2 linked regions of the Struthio camelus genome follow. The protein of the gene in region 1 interacts with the protein of each later gene in a pairwise test. Links are inferred from orthologs where the notes say so. Each region holds a gene or a part of one and is shown in the gene's direction. Other genes may lie near its edges.

Region 1 (7,408 bases):
CTTCTGTTGTAGATGGTAATAAAAGCAGATGGTGAAAATTATTTAGTTGCCAAGATTTCTGAATGACACATTTCATATTTCATTAACATCCTGTATGTACTAAGAGGGAAAATGAAAGTAGTATAAATCACACTTAATCTAATTTAGTCTGGGAATGTTGTCTGAATCCTGTTGGAAGTACTGTATATATAGTGATATATCTCTTATTTTTCAGCTTTTGCTGTGAAGATAGTTTAGTATAAACGATGGCACTAGGAATCTGCAGGTTCCTGATGCTGACTTTCATAGAAAAAATGCTGAAGAATTAAAAAAAAAAAAAGTATGGTGAGGCCTGGCCTGGCCTCACATGCGTTTTTAGTTATTTATTTTCTGCTAGCACACGGAATTAAAATTGGGCCTTAATCTGTTAAAGGTCAGAAATAGGTGGAAATAGTTCTACATAAGCAGAAAAAACAGACCATGGATGAGGTGAGGGATCATGGGAGAAAAATGGAGAAATGAAACGAAAGAAAAAAGTATAATCAAGACAGAGACTGACGAAAGACAGAGGTTCAGCTGGTTGGTGAAGCAGTTATCCACATAAAATCTATTCACTGCAATTGAAGAATTCATTACTTCAGTCACATATTCAAAAAAATCTAGTCCTTGATGTCAAAGATCTATGTTGGAGCCTTCCTTTCTGAGCTTTTAATCTAGATAAGGTCAAAGGTATGTGGAAACTGCAATCATATGTGTAATAACCAATTTAGTGATATGTAAAATCTTAAATAAAATCATCATTACTTTTACTTTCACTTTCTGTACAGTTATATATTTGGCCTAAGGTTTTTTTTTTAGCAGACTGAAGACAGGTTAAGCCATAATCAACAGTTATACTAGGCAAGTGTTTAAAAAAAACTTACTGAGTCACACCATAAATAGGATATACAATCTGCTGCAAGAATGTAATCATAAGAAGTTATTTTTATTTTCTCAAGATCAACATTTAACTTTTCAAAAGCCCTTAGCACCACTGGTGAACTTGCTTCATGAGAGGAAGCCATACTGCAACCTGCCACTTAAAAATGGCAGCACAAGAACGAGCGGTCTGCTGAGAGTGGGCATTAGTAACTTATGCTGATTTTTGCAATTGATTTATGGAACATAGTTCAAGATGTAAAGAAAACCCATTTATTTACAAGATGAAGGACTCTGCCTGTATCTTTCACTCTATAGCCAGAGTACAGTAAGAGCACTTAACAGACACTCTCAGAGATGCAGTTGTTCAGTGCCAACTTTTTTTGTTTTTAAACAAGAACAAGGAGAAAGAAGCTATTAACCTTCATCCAAGGGGAGTATCACCACTGTCATTTGTAACAACACCACCAATTGTAACAATACTACTAAAAGAATCAGTGGGAGGTGTGTCAGAATTGGCATTTGGGACTACAAGCACAACCCCATCGAAGCTCTTGCCACTCCCAACTCCAGTTACCGCTACTGCTGCTGTCGCTACCTTGGAGCAGAGAGAGTATATAGTGATGTGCTGTAAGGAACTATGTTAAGAAACAGCTTTTATAGGTAGGCATTAACAGCCAAGCGCTATTAGGAACGGAGAGAAGACTCTCCTAAGGGATGAGAGAAGCGGACAGGGAATATTTCTGAACAAATACAACATTTCAAAAAGGGCTACTATGACTGAACTACAGAATTCACTTGAGATCGAACTCCCATTTTGCTAGGCACAATATACGCGCTGGTTAATTACCTAAGTACAGTACTTAAACAGTAAACAAGTATCTCTAAATATCTTCCGAGGCTTCAATCAATTCTTGCCCTTAGCCTTGGGAGTAACACTGTCACCAAGTAATTACACGTGCAAATATGCAGATGCAAATTTTGGAGGCTGTCTGTGTTCACTTACAGCAGGTATCAGATGATCTGAATGACTGAATAGCAATGACTATTCAATTCAACTCTGTAAAGGAAATATTAGGTGTAAAAAGATATGTGCATGTATGCCCACATACAAAAGCACATGATGTGGATGTAACTCGAATACATCCTGCATGTTTTCTCAGTGCAGCTCTTTGTGTAAAAACAAAAACAATACTACACAAAATGATAAAATAACTAAGCAGTAAGAGATAATTTTCAAGGATGGAAAGAATCTGGAGTGTGGGGTTGTAGTTCCTCATCATTATTCCAAGTCATTAATCAAGACAGCAACAGAAATCAGTAAAGAAAATAATGACAACATTGAAATAACAAACCTTAAATTTCACGAAATAGGAAACGATCAAACCTATTCCAAATAAACAATGTATGTCATGTAGAGAAAAATGAAATGTCAATTAAATGCTGAAATCTGTTTCTGGAGCTAATTTTTGATAGGACAAATTATGGAATGCATTTTGCTAGTATTTTTGTTATCTCTTCTGACATTACTTTATATCATTATAACAAATCCACATTTCTATATACATTTGTTAATTCCAAATTGATAAAAAATGTCTTTCGAAAATAATTATTTAGACATGCTTTAAATAAAAAAAAAGCAGTAACAAGAAGTTTAAGGCTCTGAAGAATGGTAGGAATCATATTGTGGTAAGTTTCATAATCATAATATCCCAGAAAGACGGGAGTGAAAGAGCAGCAGCATTAGCAGAAATAGGTCATCAAAAGACTGTGTCTGATAAATTATCAAGTGAACTTTACACCATGAGCAATTTTATACTAGCTTCAAAACCTTTTCACAGTCAGATTATCTTTCTGTTGTGTATACAGTATTTGTAAAGAATTCGTAGTGGTTGCAAGAGATCAAGTTTTCCTACTTAGCCCCCAAATAAATACCCACATTTTAGCTGCTAGTTTCGTGTTCATGGAACACCAGTAGTTTTTGCTGATGTTCACAGGGCTTTTCTCCCTGCATAAAAAATTGGGATTTTGACCCACCAGCTACAACATAATCACTTCTAAATTATTTAATGTTAGAAAGTGGCTCCAAGATAGAAAAAAGTACTATCTTTCAAGAAACTAGACTGTTATGATGTAAGTCTTCTTCCTATAGCTACCACAATGATACAGAAGACATCACAGCATAAATCTTAAAACTCTTTTTTTTAACTTGAAAATTGATGAAAAGATATACCGTACGTGTTTTATGCCGAGTACCAACTGAAGAACTTTCACAAATGACACAAGGGCAGGTACAATTTAACCAACCTGGAACCAACTGTTGGAAAACTTTAAGCTTTAATAAGTATGAAGTTATCCAGGAGCTTATATGCCATTTTAGCTCATATATTTATTTTTCTTGATCAAACAGTTATTTTCAGCTTTACAGTAAACTACAGTGAATGCTCCGAGAACTCGCTTGTAACAGAAGATGACTAAACCCATTGTTACTGTAAACGCACCTAGAACTATATTGTTAAATGTATTCTGCATATCCATCTTCAGCCTTCAGATTCAATAAGCCGCTTAAATGTACATTCCCAAACTCTCAATTATGCAGCTTTACCTAATAACCGAAAGCTTTCAATGGCTTGGCTGTAATAATTATCAAAGGGAAAACACTCATCAAGCTTATTTATAACGTGCTGACCTTGTGTGTGTGATGTATGCCAGCGTCTGGTTTCAATTTTTATCATGCCTTCTTCACGTTACACCTTGTTACCGGATAATAAACTCTTTACAGTGTTGAAGAGCATGATGGGATACTAAAACCTAAACGTAACCCGGGTTAAAACAACGCTTCGTTGTTACCCTGTTCTGCTTCACCAAATAAAACACAACACAGCGTCCTGACCTGAAAACCCTCCTCTTTCTGGTCACCGGCCCGTACGGGCGGTGCTCTGTGACCACTATCACCCTCACAGCCATAGTGCCAAAGCTGAAGTTCATTCACCGCAGCCGCGAGCGACGCCCGCAAACAGCCCTTCACATGCAAAGCCTGAAAATCTTCATTTCGAACCACCACGCTCGCCGTTCCCCAGGCAAACCCGGCTCCTCACCCTCCAGGCTGCCGGAGCTGCCGCCCGCCCCCGGGCACCCCCCGCCGCCGGCCACCTCGCCCAGGCCGGCTCCCCGCCGGGGTGCCCCCTCCCCGGCACCCCTCCCAGGCGCGCTCCTACCGGCAGAGGGGCCGCGCGGCCCCCACCGCCGCCGGCACCGGGCGGGCCGCCGCCGTCAGTCCCGCCCCCGCACGCCATAGGGCTGCCCCAAGCACCTCGCCTCCTGATTGGCTGTGCCGCCCGTCCATCCGCCCCCCTCCGTCCCGTCCCCGCCCCGCCCCGCCCCGCCTCGCGGGAAACCTGTGCTCGCCCGTACCTGCGCCAGCTCGGGTTCCAACCGCCGCCGCGACGAGCCCGGCCCGAGTCGGTGCGTGGGCCTCCCGGTGCGTGGTGGGACGGGGCTCCCGCAGCCCCGAGCGGCAGGGAGGGGCGAGAGGAGCTGGGCAGGCCCCGCCGCCGCAGCTGCCGCCGCCGCCTCTCGCCTGGCAGGTTTGACGTTTGCCGTTTGCCCTTGTTGCTGGAAGTGACGTCTCCTCGGGCAGGCTCCGCGGAAGCGGAAGCCGCCGGGGTTTCGTGGCGGCAGATTCAATCCGCGCCCTAGGTCGGACGGCCCCGTGCCGCGGACGAAGCAGGGGAAGGCGGTCGCGGTCGGCGAGCCGGAGCCGGAGCCGGAGCCCGGGCCGGAGGGCTCCCCTCCGCAGCGCAGGCCGCCCCAGCGGCGAGGAGGGAGTGCGGAATCTGCCGATCCGGAGCAGGCGCCCTAGTGGCGGGCCGCTTCCCGCGCCGGGCTGGCAGTTGGCGCAGGTGAGTGTCGGGGCCGGGGGCGCCGTTGGGGGGGGCGGCGGCGGTGGCGGCTCGTCCCTCCCGCGGGGTCCTTCGTCTCCTCGAGGGGCGGCGAGCCGCCGGGGCAGAGCGGCCTCCGGTCGGGCCAGGGGTTGAAGAAGGGCGGAGGGGGAGCCCGGCCCGGCGGCCTTCGTCCGCCGCGGTTAGGGTGGCGAGCAGGGCCGCCGCGCAGCCGCTCGTGCGGTGCGCTCGTTGCCGAGTGCCCGCTGTGTTGGAATCGCGTCTGTTACAGCTAGCGCGATACTGAAGGGCAGTATTTCTTCTTGACGCTTTTGGGCCTCCACAAAACAGCCTGACCTTCCTTCCCCCCCCCCCCCCCCCAGATTTTTTAATATATTTTGTATATATATATTTATATCCATATTTAGATGTTGTTATGCCTGAGTTGTAGGGAAAAAGAACATGATGCTTTACTTTGGACAGCTTATGTTATATTGGCTCTTCTGTCATAAATTCCTACAGACAAAAGTTACTTTACATAATATTCATCTTTGCAATGTATTAAATTATTCTCTACCCACTTGAATCTATTCAACTTCTACTCTATTATTTTTATGACCTATTGAGCTAGTCAGAGGTTTGTAGCCAAGCTAGAAATGAAGGTTATCATCACAGCTTTTTATATCCAGAGGTTTGGTGTGGAAATGATTGTTAGTTGTTTTGGGAAGCAACCTATGTCCTTGCAAGGATTCCATTTTGCTATGAGAGCATCTTCTGTGGTTATTTGCGTTGTAGATTGGAGCTTCAGTTTTACATTAAGCTCTTTGAGACTTTTCTTCAGGAACTAGTTTAAACTGCCAAAGCCACAGGCTGGCTCACTTTCGGGAGCCCATGAAGAAAGAATACCTGCCTCAGTTTGCAAATATTTGAGGTTCTATTTTCTCTAGGTCCTCAATGAAGTGTGTGGTGTGTTTATATTTAGCACAGCTAACACCTGCAACCTAATAATTTACCGGTAGAAGTCCTCAAAATCACGGGCACTGTGAAGAAGAAAATGCTTTAACGAGGGAAGAGCACACCTGAAATCTTAAGCTTCTTCAAGGTTACTAGTGTAAACACCACAGGCACACGAGAAGGGAAAAAAATGGAACGTTGTGAGTACAAGCTTTTAGTACATTTTTATTATGAGAGAAGTGTATGGTCAAGAACTTTCTTTTTAAAAGACTCTTCGCTTTAAATCTGTAATATCAAATAAGTGACTTGCAAACTGGAGTACTCATATGAGTTCTTTTCTGACGAAGATAGATATAATCTCCTTGGGGTGTTTCGTCTTTTGATCTGTGGTGGCTGAATCACATGCATTAGTGTGAGAAATTATATCATGAAATTCTTTATCTTGAAAATATATCTTCGACTATAGGTTGTGAAGCAGTGCGTCTTTGCTACTTGAACTGGTAAACTTCAAAGCATTTGTTTTCTGGCTAGAAAAGGAATTCAGCAGATGGTGGAAGGCAATTGTCTCCTAGGCTGTAGCAGAAAATTGAACAGTAAATTTCTGTACTAAGGTTTTATGGCTGAAATCATGACTCTTTCTGAGGCTTCTGGAGAACTACAGTAGCGGGTTAAGCCAGTTAGCTGCTAGCAGATTTGTAAAGAAGTGAGGAACATGTTGAATAAGCGCTGCTTTTTGTGAGAGATATCAACTTTCTCTTCTTGAGTTTTGGATTCTTTTTTTCTGTAGAGGTGGAAAGAACCTTCATCTTTCATACCCACTCTGTTGTCCAGACTCAGCATTATGATATTATTATTATTTTTTAATAGCTTAATTTTGAAAGAAGTTACATAAGAGATAGAAACTGGGGGTACTCTTTTAAGTTCTAGTTTATTTCCTTTAATAGCCATAAATTGTCTCCAAAGCCATTAACTACACTAATGTTTTTTAAAAATTATTGCTTTCCTTTGAGAATTGCAAAGTTCAGAACTTTGCAAGTGCTCCCCATACATTAGGAATATACTGATGAAGTTGCTTACAACTTTGTAGTTGCGCTTCCAGTCATGACTGGAACCTAATTATGTAGTTAGGCTTGCATAATTCTTTACCTCTTATGTTCAGATTTCTCTGCAGTTTCTTGAAACTAACTTTTCTTTATCTGCCTTGCTTTTTCTCTAATAAACAATTTAAAAAAAAACACTGAGCCTGGCAGTTTGCTAATGGACTTTCTCAAGTTCCAGCTGACTGAATGCTAAGATACAGGCTACTTGTTTTCACTTAAGACTTACAAGAGCTGAGCTATCCAGTCTGTGCTTTTTAAAGTCTTGTGTTGGAAAAGAACCAGTAATGGTTGCTTATAATTTCAAAACAAATCTTTGCAAGATATAGTAAACAATGTTCCCGAAGTGTCTCTAAATATTTATTTTGAAGCAATGGAGTGAGGGGTTGGGTTTCAAGGTAACTAGTACTGATACTTTGATTTGATTTCAAGTTAACTGCTTCAGGTGTCTCTTTAAATCTACTGAGCAGGCGTAGTTGCCACTGTTCTTAGCTCTCTTATGGCAATTAGTTCTCCTGAGTCTTCCCCTCCCCTTGAGAATTTACTAATTAGTTCTGTTTGACAAAATTGTCATTAAAA
Region 2 (8,017 bases), on another chromosome or scaffold:
GGAGCGGAAGACTGACCCTGATTTTTGTCTGTACATTTAGAAGCAAACTGTGATCCATACTGAAAACTTTCCTATCGCAAGTAACAATGGTTTATTCACCTCCTGTGTTCGTAATGAACTACCAAGGCACAGTCAGGGATGTGTCATGCCCAGTATTCCTGGCAGACTTGTCATTTTATGTAACATAATGTGAAGGGGAAAAAAAAAAGAAAAGAAAAAGAAAAAACTTGGTCAACTTCCCAGTGATGCACTGGGCACAGGAAACTTAAAAGGACAATTGTTGCTAAATATGTTTGCTAAGGGGGAAAAAAAAAAAAAAAAAGAATTTAACCCTTAGTGTGGTAGTATTGCCAGAGAAACTAACCTTTCCACACGACGACTTGCGGGCACTTGTGACTCATAACACCATTTCCTTGGAAGAGATGATGCCGAGAACTTGGGGTGACGAGACAATCAGCCCTTTACCAAACCTTGTTCCTGGTGCAGGCTGATTTAGAAGTTGCCTGGGAAATTGCCTTTTACCTACCAGTTGGAAGACAATCAATCATCTTTATTATTTCGTATCATAGATGTGTTAAATAAAGAGTAGCAGTCCTTTGATGGACCTGATTGGTACAGCCCTTGTGGCCGTAGAATTAGGATTCCCAGAGAAAGTAAGTGTTTATTCTGGAGCTAGGCAGCCAGGGCACCCTAAATAGCTGTGGGAACGGTGTCAATGAATTGTAGATATCTAAAATGAAGCTGTGCAATCACAGAAATCCTGAAAATGTCCGCACTGCGCATTCACTAAAAAGTGAGCCAAAGGACGGCAGCTTAGTTGGAGACATTTTTGTGATAGATTCCTACAGTTAGGTGAGATACATGCCATCTCTGTGGCTTTGTTGCACTTACCATGAAAAAGCCTTCTATACAAACACATTCACTATTCCATTATATATTTTGTCAGGGTGTACAATAGAGTCTTTTATTCTCAGAGGAGAAAACAACTGGAGATGAAATTTGAAGCAAACTCTCCAAGGACATTACTGAATGATTTTCTTTTCGGACACCTTAGAAACCTCCTTCAAGAGGAAATAATTTTCTAATCATCGTCTTATTTGTCTAGATCAAATTGGTCATTGATATAAACAGGTTTACCTCTGCCGATATTGAATTTCATTCATTCATTTATACAGTCACAGATCTTGTTGCTTCATATATTCTGTGCTAAACTTCTCTCTCGCTTTTGTTTCTTTGTTTTGTGATCTTTTTTTCTTTACTATCTTATGATCTGGAAGAAAAGAAAAAAAAGGATGACTGGGAACAGGCATTGTATTAAGGAGGCTTACAAATCCATATGTAGTGATTAAAAAAAAAAAAAAAAGAAGGAAAGAAAATCCATCAAAAGAAAATTAGAATAAGCAGATAACCATGGTAGAATGTACAGGTTTTTATCTAAGAACAGGAAAAAATTTAGTGGGTCTGTAGAACCTACTGAATCATGAAATTTACTGAATATTACTGAATCATGAAATACCAAATGAAAATTAAACATGTGGACTCTATGCCTTTGCATCTTGCTCATTAGAGAGTGACACACCGTCTCTGATCCCAGCACAACAGTGATTCACAGAATTGATAACTTTTGATCCTCTCAGCTGAGATTTTGAGAGTTAAATCCAGCCTCACAAAGGGATTTAGATGTCCAGCTCTCTAAGAGGATATTAAAGGCTGTGAGTTTAGCATACAGGGAAAAGGGTCAGCTGAGCAGCTAAGAAAGGCATTCCCAGCAGTCGGTGTATTGAGCAAGTCGGCTGATAGGAAATGCTATGAGAGGAATATGAGAGGAATATGTCTGAAATCTTCCTTCTTTCCTGAATTTAGGATCATAAGTCAGGAATTCAGTGTGAAACCACCTCCAGTCTTGGACACCTAAGTCATGCTGTAGTGAACCAGTTATGCTCAGGTGTCTCTCTTGCAGAAAGATTCCTGAGAGTCTGTGCATTGACTCAATCACTGCCTTGTACTTTGTTATGATAACAATCAGGAGGAGGTCTTCTTCTAACCAGAAAGAGAACTGAGTCAGATCAAGAAGTAGCTCCTGACTGAAATAATAGTGATGTAAATTTGTTCAAATCAGTGGCATTATCCTAGACAAACACTAGTGTAATTTAAAACAGAATCTGGGTCTAAGTGTCTTCTCGAAGCATCGTTTCAATGAATATAAGAAATACATAACTATGTTTCCATTAGGCCCAGTGGAAACCACGGAAATCTTACCATCAAAGGGTGATTTACCATTAAGATCTAGAGCATGATTTCTCACAGAAAACCCAGCTTCTAAATTTCAACTTTCTATATGGATGGCACTGAATAGAGCACATGGGAAAATGTTTTCATTTCAGCTAACAGTGCCGAACTTCTTTCCATTTTTCTGAATTGCTGGGCTGTGAAAACATGGACCTACGATTCTTCACAGTGGTGAGAAAGTTAGCAATGCTTCAGAGAGGTGAAAATCTATAGGCGGAAAGTGGTTGTTGGTGTTTCCAGAACTGTGAGTAAAATATTCCTAGCAATCCCCACTTGCATGCTAAAACATTTGATTGACCCTACTAAAATACTTGGCTGGTGGAGTTGCAGGATGACTGCAATTCTTCTCAAGAAGAGAACAATTTTAGTTTGCTAAAGTGCCCCTGGTTCTGGTCATTTGGTCTCTGGACCGACATACGTTCCCTCTGCCCTTCAACGTTATTCCTTCACCTAAGTGGAAAATTCCCGGAGAAGTCATGTTAGCCAAGACCAAACTTGTAGTCACATTTGTTTCTTGTTCAAATAGTAGAGAGACTGTGAGCAATGTGACATGTGGGAGCACAGAACAAAGCCTGCCACTTAACCAATGAGTACATTTGTTTTCTGACTGAATTGTTAAGCAAGGATTGTGCTGCAGCCCTTCAGAATCTGATTTGTTTTAGAGGAAAAATGAGTCTGTCCTGGGATCCTGGCCATTAAATATCCACTTCTGTGAGGTTGATTCTTCTCTCAGCTGTCTCTAGTGCAAATAAATAATGTTAAGAGTGTATAGTGATTTAAATCATCTGTAAAGAATAACCCCACAGCTCAAAAGCTACTTTCTCCCTCTAGCTCCCATCAGATACGTGCCTGCCCTTCACTGCCTATCCTAAATACTTGTGTAAGCTTGGCGGTCATGTCTCCATTTCTAGCTGCATAATTCCAAAAAAACCCCGAAACTCATCTTCAAGTGTGATTTGACAATAAGCTATGAACCATGCCTAGAAAACCTGTCTGGACAAACCCAGCTCATCCATTGCACAAGACACTGGATTTTGCCCTTTTTTGGTTCACAGCAGTTTATGGGGACTGGGTCTATGGGTAGAAAACTTGACCAAGTGCTGGGGTATTTGTCATTAATCTGAGAAAGAATGGGGTGGAGCTCATTTTGGAGAAAAGCACCATACTGAACTGCGTTGTGGAGGAGATTTCTGAACAGACATTTCCCTAGGACAAACCGTGATGTCAAAGGGCTGGAATCATCACAAGGGGGTTAAATCTGCGGAGAGCGTTGCTGCTCTACTCATGCCTTGTCTTTCTCATGTGAGGGATTCCTTCTTGCCTTATCAGTACCGGTACAGAGGTTGTTAGGTAGTCCAAATCCTAATTGTAGGAAGAGGTGAGTAAAGAAGGAATTTCCTGCAGGCACAGCAGAATGGCAAGGCAGCTCCATCCCACGGATGCCAATTTGGGACACCTGGAAAGTACTTGCTCTTGTAAACTATTCATAGAGCTCTTCTTTCCCTCACTCAGTTCCCTGAGGTATGAGATATGCCTTGTGTCTTGGCCATTCTGTGGGTGGGACCGGAGAAGCTGGTCACTTCTGCTCTTCAAGTTTCAGAGAATGGATTTGCAATAAATAAAAATTCCACTGAATAAAATACTTAATTTAAATACTTGGTTAATTGACTGTGATTGTACCTCACATTAAAATTGGACACACTGTCTTGGGCAGAATTTGATTTCTTATTGGTCTAGCATGCGATTCCTCATTCTAGCCCCATTGCAATTAGAAGGGTAAAAGACAATAACTAACATATCCTAATTTATTTGATTTTTCCTGTTTTTGCCCCATTGGTACAGTTCTGTTGGGTAAGTGTATTATAAAACACAAAGAAATAAAAGTGGTTATTTTGGAAAATCAAGAACATCTGAGAACTAGAAAGCATAAGAGTTTGGGCATGACAGGCTGCAGACATCTAGATTTTTACTTAAGCAGTCTTCAGCTTTGCATCTGAACAAATTATTGAAAGCTCAATATATTTTAAAAGCCCTTCTTGACTGTCTAATGCTATCCAGGTGTGTATTTGACTTTGTCTTCATAGTGACATACTTCCTCGGTGAGAAAGCCTTGAATTAATTAAACTACAATTTAAAAGTTGACACCAGTGCATTAAAGCAAGAAGAAGAAGAAAGAAGAGGAGAGAGAGAGAAGTAAGCTGTTTTTAAATAGTCATCTTGCTTTCCAGACTTTGCCTGGGCAATTTGCTTCTGACCCTGGATCAGATCTGGTGCATCCTTGAAGTCAGAGCAAACCCTCTGACTTTGAGGCGAAGGCACCGCCAGCTGCGAAAGCGCGCAGAGATCTGATAACGCAGGGGTTAACCTAAGGCATGTATACAAACCTTGCTGCGATAACATCAGAAGAGGTTAGACCTTTTGCTCTTCGAGACGCTCTGGCACTGCTGGGAGATTCATTTTGTCTGCAAAATCAAGCGTGTAATTTCCCTTGTCCCGCAGTCTGTGTCTCTGTCTGCGGCCAGTGCCGTGCATCGGCGGCGGCAGCAGCCGGTCTCCCTGGTGACTGCCGGGACAGCTGACCTTCAGGAGAGGAGCGCTGGATGTCTGCAGGCTATACTTTCACTTCAGGATGTGGGTTAGGAAGCCCCCAGATTGGCTTTTTTCCTGCCGGTCGGAAGGAAGGCAGGAGAGCGAGCCCAGGGAAACCCTGAGACGCCTCTGGTTGGGACGGGGAGGGGGTGGGGGGAGGCGGAAAAAGTGAAGAAACGAAGTAAATGCCCATTTCATACGTCCCTCAGCACGATTTCTTCCCCTCCGCTTAAGCATAAACCTCTCAAGGGCAGAGCAAAAAGGGTGCAGAGAACCTGCGCTTCGACCTAGCGCTAATGCAAACCCCGTGCGCTGGCGGAGAGGAGCCGGGCACGGAGACGCGGGCTAGATCAGACTGGCTCTTCTGCAAACCCGAACGCCTCCTCTAGCTGCAGAGGGCAGCTCTTTCGGGTCCGAACCGCCGGCGTATGAAGCACCCAGCTGACCTGCAGTGGAGTTATTTCAGCTTTACGCGGTGGTCGCAGGGATTAGAACGACTCGCAACCGTTAGTCGGTCAAGACCTGTTTGTGTGAGTCTGTGTAAACATATATGTTTGTACATCTGTCAGGCTTGGCATCAGAAATGCGTCCAAGTCTGCGCAGAGCCAGCAGAGGAGAGGTTCCCACCTGTTTTCAAATGAAACGGAGTCATTTAAGTCCCTGGAGCGCCGATTTAGTTGTTGATTTTATTTATTGCTTTCGGATGTCACCGGCTGCCGGTGAAGCTGAGCATGAACAACTTACCAGCCTGCACAGATAACTTTTCTTTTTGTTTAGTCCAGCACGAGGGAGAAATCCTGTAAAAGCTCTCAGCCCAGTCTGTGGGCTGAATGGCGATAGAGAAGTCAAACGAGTGAAGGTAAAATTCCTGCGGTGCTCCTAAAGACTTTTCCAAAGATTTTAAAAAAGCCTCTTAAAAACGGCAGCAGAGATCGAAGGCTGTTAAGGGAAGGGGAAAAAAAAAAAAAGGGGGAAGAAAAAACTTTGGCAGGCATGCAGTGTCTTACATCAATCTAGCAGTCAGCATCTATGTAGATGTTCTTTCCTCCTTTTGTGCAACACCCCTTCCCTCCTACAGACCACCCAAAGCCCTATAAATAATCCAAGAACTCTATTTTTTCTCCAGATTTCTCTTCAGACCTCAAAGGGAAAATATCAAGCAGAAGAAGGGAGAGAGGGAGAAGAAGGGAAAGTGCGAGAGAGAGAGAGAGAGCGAGGGAAGGGAAAGATGGCTAGTGAATTCAAAAAGAAAATGTTCTGGAGGGCGGTGGTGGCTGAGTTCTTTGCCATGAGCCTCTTTATTTTTATCAGCATTGGCTCGGCTCTGGGTTTTAGTTTCCCGGTTGTGGGCAACAAAACGTCCACAAGGTCTCAAGACAACGTGAAGGTCTCGCTGGCTTTTGGGTTATCCATTGCTACCATGGCACAAAGCGTGGGCCACATCAGCGGTGCCCACCTGAACCCCGCGGTGACCCTGGGCCTTCTGCTGAGCTGCCAGATCAGCATCTTCAAGGCGCTCATGTACATCATCGCTCAGTGCCTGGGGGCAGTGGTGGCCACCGCGATCCTCTCGGGAGTCACCTCGTCTCTCCCAAACAACCTCCTGGGGCTCAACGCGGTAAGCAGAGAAACTTTTGATTCCTCCTTCATTTTTAATGTAGAAATGTGAGGGTAACACCAGCAAGCTACTAAGGGGGTGCGTGTGGGTGTGTGTGTGCGTATGTAGAGGGCGATGGTAGCTTCACTCAGCCAATGGCTCAGTTTAGGGGGGGGATCCAGTCCTGACTGATTGACGCCAGGGTGAATCTAGGATATAGGTACCCTGTGCTGTCAGCTTAAGCACTTTATTAATCCTTTTCCTTTGCAAGAGATGTCGTAGAGAAGGTCCCTTCTCCCCACCCCCTTTCTAAAGCTAGAGGACACTGTGGTCACGACCAGTTTTGCTCATGTTTAGTTTTGTATCTCTGCGTTGATAAAAGTCGCCTTTTGATGCCAATTTAGCATTGAAATCACTGCCAGTTGCGAGGTCGATCCCTGTGATGGTGCTAAAGGTCTCAGATAACATGCCTGCGACTTGCGATGCTGATGAATGTGCATACAGCGATGTTGTTTTCCCATGTGTGAATGTGGTTCTTTTTTCAATACCTAATTAATGATTTCTGTAGCCTGATGATGACTGCAATGTAAGAACCTATGGAAAAAGACACAGAGAGGGATGTGTAGCAAGAGGAAGCTGTGAGCATTACCTGTTGCATTAGGCTCAGTTCCTGCCTGACACAATGACAGCTGCGCTTTCCTTGTGCTCCTGCTTTTGCTATTCAAAAGATGAGGAAAACACTGAATTCTGAGATGTAAGCTGCAGAAAGAGGTGAGGCAATGACATTTAACAGGGATGAAGGTTTCAGCCCTCTTCTAGCCTGCTGCTCACAGCTATTAACAGTCGCATTGCATAAAAAGTACTTTGAATATTTCAGTGCTTGGCTGCAACTGTTCCCTCTAAAAATTGCTGTCATTTTATTGTTCTTATTTTAGCATAGCAGCCGTGAAAAGGATAGATACACTTTTTAAACATTAAATCATCCCATTGTCAGAGGCAGTCCCACAGCCACAAATATTTGGGTCACAATCCAAAGAGGAGTATTATAAGTGGAAATTCCCTTCTAGTCACTTTTCTCACCTGATGCTGTTAAGGACAAATATATCACATCTTTTCCGTGGCCCCTCTCTTGCAGACTATTTCTGGCTGCAGTCTGGGACTTGAACCTATTTGAAATATTATGTCCAGTTGAAGTCGTAGGGATATTTGGGACCTAAAGCTCCAAATCAAAGGTCTCTTCATAAATCATTTGGGCAAAAGGGGAAGAAAAAATAAACAAAAGTTAAATGCACAAATAGGGTAACATGTTTTAGCATGCTATGCCGTTATAGTTAACTCCAAAAGTGAGACTGTGAAGATTTTTTAAAACGTAATAAAAGTTGGTATTAAAAAGGTCATTCCTGAGTAGCCAAAGTGTATCATCCATCTCAGCATTACTCTGAGGGTTAGGTGCTTACCTCCCTCTTCGGAGTCTGGTGCCTGCAGGTACCTCCTTGTGCCACCACTTTTGAAATCTTAATAGGGTTAATCCAGCACATTCTG

Evidence for each region. The genes of interacting proteins can lie anywhere in the genome.
Region 2: the proteins of CEP44 (region 1) and AQP1 interact in binary tests that used the Homo sapiens proteins (3 or more experiments, as listed by UniProt). The link is inferred for Struthio camelus from reciprocal best matches to the Homo sapiens genes CEP44 and AQP1.

The regions. Positions count from the first base shown.
Region 1 is NC_090945.1:46,873,046-46,880,453, forward strand, and holds the start of CEP44 (centrosomal protein of 44 kDa), read left to right. Parts: upstream 1-4,313; 5' UTR 4,314-4,799; intron 4,800-5,725; exon of another isoform or gene 5,726-5,760; 5' UTR 5,761-5,932; intron 5,933-7,408. Other genes in the region: FBXO8 (F-box only protein 8), read right to left, coding at 3,587-3,632. UniProt on the Homo sapiens protein: Centriole-enriched microtubule-binding protein involved in centriole biogenesis. In collaboration with CEP295 and POC1B, is required for the centriole-to-centrosome conversion by ensuring the formation of bona fide centriole wall.
Region 2 is NC_090943.1:5,170,226-5,178,242, reverse strand, and holds the start of AQP1 (aquaporin-1), read left to right. Parts: upstream 1-4,977; 5' UTR 4,978-6,106; coding exon 6,107-6,496; intron 6,497-8,017. UniProt on the Homo sapiens protein: Forms a water channel that facilitates the transport of water across cell membranes, playing a crucial role in water homeostasis in various tissues.